2 linked regions of the Saccharomyces cerevisiae S288C genome follow. The protein of the gene in region 1 interacts with the protein of each later gene in a pairwise test. Each region holds a gene or a part of one and is shown in the gene's direction. Other genes may lie near its edges.

The links.
Region 2: the proteins of UBC6 (region 1) and PEX2 interact in a protein complementation assay, tested with the Saccharomyces cerevisiae proteins (one study listed by BioGRID).

The regions. Positions count from the first base shown.
Region 1 is NC_001137.3:357,562-360,976, forward strand, and holds UBC6 (E2 ubiquitin-conjugating protein UBC6), read left to right. Parts: upstream 1-2,000; coding exon 2,001-2,753; downstream 2,754-3,415. Other genes in the region: putative ubiquitin-specific protease UBP9, read left to right, coding at 1-169; ribose phosphate diphosphokinase subunit PRS2, read right to left, coding at 544-1,500; AST2 (Ast2p), read right to left, coding at 2,941-3,415. UniProt on the Saccharomyces cerevisiae protein: Catalyzes the covalent attachment of ubiquitin to other proteins. Functions in degradation of misfolded or regulated proteins localized in the endoplasmic reticulum (ER) lumen or membrane via the ubiquitin-proteasome system.
Region 2 is NC_001142.9:35,244-38,360, forward strand, and holds PEX2 (ubiquitin-protein ligase peroxin 2), read left to right. Parts: upstream 1-1,675; coding exon 1,676-2,491; downstream 2,492-3,117. Other genes in the region: oligopeptide transporter OPT1, read right to left, coding at 1-1,006; CBP1 (Cbp1p), read left to right, coding at 2,762-3,117. UniProt on the Saccharomyces cerevisiae protein: E3 ubiquitin-protein ligase component of a retrotranslocation channel required for peroxisome organization by mediating export of the PEX5 receptor from peroxisomes to the cytosol, thereby promoting PEX5 recycling.

The DNA.
Region 1 (3,415 bases):
CGATGATTGGTTAAGGGATCGTAAATTGAGGGCAGCTGCAAATATTGAACGCAAAAAGACCTTGGGGAATATACCTGAAGTTAAGACTGCAGAAACCAAGACGCCATTAAATGATAAAAAACGCAATAAGCAAAAAAGAAAATCGAGAATATTGAGCTTCATCAAATAAATCGGGATTGTTTCGATACATCATATAGTTGAGACCCATCTGTTCTAAAAGTATCAATATTAGTGTACCATTTTTTCTTCCTTTTTTAAATAATTTCCACGTTTCTTTCTATTGTTCCTGATCTTTCGAATTTAGTTGTATTTCACTTCACCTACTGTAATAACTTTTTTTTTTTAGAGCACAATAAAATTTCACATATTTTCCAAAAGCAAGGGCGGTAAATCAGAAAAGATTAAGCTTTAATGAAAATCTCATAGAGACCAGATGAAGAATATTGGTGGCAGCATAAGCGCTAATACTGAATAGATATACGCATTTTTTTTCAAAATATCTGTTAGTACATTTATACAAATATATTCGTTTATACCTCTTCTTTAAACAGGCGCATGTGTAAATAAATATGAGACTGATTCTCCATTATGCAATCTTCTGATAGCTTCTGCAATCGTAGGGCTGATATCCACCTGATCGACAATGTCCAAATCCAAATCAACAGGTACCGTGTTGGTGCAAACAATTCTTGATAACCTACTATTTATTAACTTCTCCCTAGCTGAGCCAGAAAATATACCATGTGTGACAATAGCGATAACCTCCTTAGCACCGTGATCCATTAATGTGTCACAGGCTTTCACCAGCGTACCACACGTGTCAGCCATATCGTCAATCAACAAGCATGACTTACCAGCAACATCACCGACAAGCAGCATTCGCGAAACTTCATTAGCTTTTTGCCTCTCCTTATGAATCAAGGCAAAATTCATATCCAGCTTGTCCGCTAAAGAAGCCACCCTTTTCGCACCACCAGCATCAGGCGATACCAGTATCGCATTATTGAAATCTGTTTTGGTCCTTATGTAATTCAACACACTTGGTTCACCGTATAAATTATCAACCGGGATATGAAAAAACCCTTGAATTTGTGAAGCATGGAGATCCATAGTAATAACATGATCACAACCCGCAGTTTCCAAAAGATTGGCAATCAGCTTCGCAGTGATGGGCGCCCGCGATTTATCCTTCTTATCTTGTCTAGCATAAGGGAAATTTGGTATTACTGCCGTAATTCTTCTGACTGATGCCGTCTTACAAGCGTGAATTAAGATAAGTAATTCCATTAAGAAATCGTTGATTTCATGTTCCCCGTAACCAGTTTGGATGATATATACGTCTTCATCACGAATGCTTTCCCCTATTGTAACAGACGTCTCTTTATTTGAATACTGATATACCCCCACTTTAGATAACGGTACACCAAGCCTTTGGGAAATAAGCTCAGCAAGCCCAGGATGTGAGTTACCAGCTAACAACTTAATACTGTTTGTAGACATATTCAACGAAACTTACGACAAGATAGTCTTTGGATGATGAGGAATATCCTCTTCTTAGCAATCCCTCGATGCCTCCTCATATCATCTATTGTTCAAAATTTTTTCATTGTTGAAAAATAGTCACGTGCTTAACCATTTTGCTGCGCGATTTGGTAGGAGGATAAATACACGGGCATACCGTATCTGTTCAATAGCAACAATGTCGGAGAGAGCTAAACTAGCCAACTCGCCATCCTATTCCACTGGTCGCTTGAGTCGATATCCTTCCACAGCAATATTGCACTTTACAATTAGGATAGCCTCCCCAATAAAATAAGGAAATTTTGGTTATTTGTGTTCAGAAAAAGCCGAAATCGATTGCAGAGAACAGAAAGGAACTTTCCGATTATCACACTTTAGGAGCCGTGATAAAGAAGACTACCATCGCATATCGCAGAAAAGACTTTAAATATTAACTAAAACCGCATTCGCAAATTGCAAACAAAGTACGTACAATAGTAATGGCTACAAAGCAGGCTCACAAGAGATTGACGAAAGAGTACAAGTTGATGGTGGAAAACCCTCCACCATATATTCTTGCTCGCCCCAACGAAGATAATATTTTAGAGTGGCACTATATTATCACAGGACCTGCGGATACTCCTTACAAGGGCGGTCAATATCACGGTACTTTAACTTTCCCGTCTGATTATCCATACAAACCACCGGCTATCAGAATGATAACACCGAATGGACGTTTCAAGCCCAACACACGATTATGCCTTTCTATGAGTGATTACCACCCTGATACTTGGAATCCTGGCTGGTCTGTCTCAACCATTTTGAACGGGTTACTAAGTTTCATGACCAGTGATGAAGCCACGACAGGATCAATTACAACATCAGACCATCAGAAGAAGACATTAGCAAGAAATTCCATAAGTTATAACACTTTTCAAAATGTTAGATTCAAATTGATTTTTCCGGAAGTTGTACAGGAAAATGTAGAGACATTAGAAAAGAGAAAATTGGATGAGGGGGATGCGGCAAATACAGGTGATGAAACAGAAGACCCTTTTACAAAGGCTGCGAAGGAAAAAGTCATCTCGTTGGAGGAAATTCTAGACCCTGAAGACAGAATACGCGCTGAACAAGCGTTGAGACAATCAGAAAATAATTCCAAGAAAGATGGCAAAGAACCTAATGATAGTTCTTCAATGGTTTATATTGGTATCGCTATTTTTTTGTTTTTGGTTGGCCTTTTTATGAAATGAAGCCATTAAATGAACTAAACTTTAGATAAATTTTGACAACACAGAATAGAAATCAATAGTATTATATAGACAAAACGGATCTTTTTATTATGAACATTGTGAATTATTAATTATATTTTTGAGTATGTATTGACCAAGAAACCTCAATAAAAATGAGGTGAAACCTAGGGAGACAGAAACTCCCATTTCAAAAACCTTCAACTTTCATTATAAGCTTACCTTGAGCACGTTGTGTAGCCATATAGGAAAATGCTTCCTTGAAATTTTTCCAGGAATAAACCTTATCAACAACGCAATCTACGACTCCCTCATTTAGCAGCTTGCCGCATTCATGTATCCAATCATTCTTCTTGGGGATAATCTTGATATTGGGGTCAAAGTAAAAATGAGAATAATCGTATGACCATAACATTGATCCAAACATTTTTCTTGCATTGGCGCTAGGGTTATCCCAAGAATCAAAGACGTCTTTCTTATAATTTCCAACATAATCACCAACTGTTGTAATATAAGCACCTTTAGCGTGAATTAAAGAACTCGAGTGACTCAAGATATCATAACCACCGATGAAGTCCAACACGACATTAAATTTACCCTGAGTATAATCTTCGGTTTCTTTGAGAGTATTAAAATCATCATAATCTACAACTTTACCGGTATCC
Region 2 (3,117 bases), on another chromosome or scaffold:
AGTCAAATGTAATTGGCAACGCACCGAGACCACTTTGAGTACCAAAGATTGTGTTAGCGATGAAATTGTGTCTTGTCTTCGACCCCCATAGGATAACGTTGAAATAGGACAGACCGGTAAAGAGGAATCCAGGTACCCAATACCAGATGAACGATCCGATAAGGACGATTAAGAAGAACCTGTAACGGGGCATCGTCCAACCATTTGCGACTGTCTTTTCAACTTTTCTCGAGTGCAACGAATCAAACAAGGACACTGAAATTAAAGTCTGAGGCCAGATAGAGCTTGCAGGGTTGACGACCCATCTTCTGGTAAGACCTGCAGCACCATAACCAATCATTTGAGATGTCCAAACCAACAAGAACTGATATCCGACATTAAGTTTCATGTTGTAAAAGCTTCCCTGGGCGTTCAAAATGTACATAGCGTATGCAGTAGAGGAAGTAAGCGCCACGGCAATTGTGACCACGGCGTGTTCCTTTTTGGTAAATGGGCCCGGGTTTAAATCGAAAAATGGCACTTTAGAACACTTCCAGTCGGGCAAGAGAGCCAGTATCCTACCAATTGGGTAGCAAACAACTTGTGCAACAAGGAAGTTGATCTCTAGCGATGGATATCTCAGGGAAAAAAATTGATTAACACCGGCGAAAACTACCACAAACACCGTGGTCAAGAACCACGTTCTCCAGTGGTTGAGGCGGATGGTGGGGTCATCCTCGATGGACACCGCCGATCTCACTTCAGGATATGGAGAATTGGGCAAGTATGTAGGGTCGCCCTTCCAAACGAGACCTTCCTCCTGTATGGAATGCCTGTCGAATTTTTGGCTTTCCGGATCGCGGTCCTCCTCATCAGTAGTCGCAGTGAGATTATTGACGTCCTCGTCAATATTCTTAACGAAAGCATCTTTCTTTTCCTCTTCCATATTGATCTGGATAGGAATGGTTGTTGGCGTTGGCGAGGGCTCCGACTCCAACGAGTCGCTCTCCCTATAAATGGTACTCATGTGTTCTGTGACGTTATATAATTGTTGCGGTTATTTTCTGCCACACAGTCGAAAACTTTTTACCAAGAATACACAGCTTCCGATGATTGTCCATATATAGTCGAAACAATTCATTGAATAGCCCAAAATTTGAAAAAAAAAGAAAAATGATGGGCACCCCATGATGATAAGAGCTCTCTTTCTTCAACAACGATTGCTAAGGCGTTTACAGACCCATCGACTGCCCTTGCAGTGGGTTTGATGTGATTAACAGGCAGCAGCAACAAGCAACTGCTGAAAACCTTGGTGCCTTGCAGACGGCTATTGTCCTGGATTTTGTGTGACAAAACGTAGATGTGGCGTCTTGTAGTCGGAGGTGTGGCGGGCCGGAAAAATAGTGGAAAAAAAGAAAATTAATGCGATAGCGACGGGCAGGTAGGGAGGTTTGAGGGGTCCGTAGTATGCGTCTATCGTTGCAACAAGGGTGACTAATGCCATGTCTTGGCCTTTGATGCAACGTCTCGGAAGTTAGTATCGATCCGAGGAGTGGAACGGATGCGATTTCCCCTCCATTCTATCGATAAGGTTGCTGGGAAACGCATTATAAGGGATGAGTGAAGACGGAGGGAAAGCATAACGAGGAGAGATTGCCGAGATAACTGAGAAGACGTAATCTAAAGGCAACGCAGCATGTCTCGAGTTGCACAGCTCGACTCGATAGCGCTTGATAAAGAATTGTATGGACAGTTTTGGTCCGAGTTCAATGCAGCATTCAATACGAGTGAACACAAAGAGGAATGGGAGTTGGCACTGAACACAGTTGTGTTTATGTGCGCGACGAGGTTCCTGCCACACTATGGCTCTAGCTGTACGTATGGATCCGCACTCAGTGGCGTGGTTTTTCAGTGCAGGAAACGCACCTTGTATGTCGTCACTGTCTTGGCAGGGTACGTGTGGAAGAAGATCACACATATTATTTTTAATGGGCCGCACTGTGGGAACCAGATGATGTGGCTGAAGCTGTACAAATGGGTTAATTTATTGTATCACGGCTGTGATGTAACCAACTTCCTGAGGTTTCTAGCAGCGGAAGGGCCCAATGCGAGGGCGTTTTTGTCGCCGTTATACCGGGCTTTTAATGTCCATTCCACAAGGTTGATTCGGGATGGTTCTGCAATTGCCTCTGAATTTTATTCGAACTCTGTATTCGCTGGGTTAGAATACCAGAATAGACAATTGCTATGGAATGCACTATTAGAACTCTTTTCCAATACACTACTTACGAAAAGAGGACTCTTGACCTTTGTTAAAAAACCACCAAGGTCTCGTTCTACGACTACTTATAAGACAGTTTGCCCCCGTTGCGGCGGTTTTCCAACCAACCCATACCAGATCGCTTGTTGTCGTGCGAACTACTGTTACGTGTGCGTTGTAAAGGCGTTGGAGTGGTCTATGTGCGATGCCTGTGGATCCTCTGGGAGACTGACCGCCTCACCAGTGTACTAAAGGGCCCCGTTCCCTCGCTTGTATCTCTATATATGTGTATACTATATTCATATTCATGTTGTCAAAATCGGTCACGTGGTAAAGGGTCTGGTTTTTTTTTTTTCACTTTCTGCTCAAGAAAAAAAAGAAACAATAAAGAAGTGGTATAATATCATCATGGAACGCTGTACGGGACGATGTGGGAAGCGACGTCTGAAATCCAGTAATAATAAACAGTGAGCACTTTAGGATAGCAGTAGTTTGCATTTTGCACGTTTCCCTTTCCATGCAATGTTTTTACCTCGTCTCGTTCGGTACAGGACCGAGAGGTTTATAAAAATGGTACCTACCAGGACCTTGCGACGAATCAACCACAGCAGCAGGGATCCAATTCAAAAACAGGTCTTGGCCCTTATCAAAGCAAATGCGAATTTAAATGACAATGACAAGTTGAAAATACGGAAATATTGGTCTGACATGGCGGACTACAAAAGTCTTCGGAAACAAGAAAATAGCTTACTGGAAAGCTCTATATTACACGAGGTCAAGATCGAAGATTTCATCAGTTTCATCAATCGCACAAAAACCTCATCTATGACTACAAGAGGAATTTATAGAAGAGAATGTTTGTACCAATGCAAGAAAAA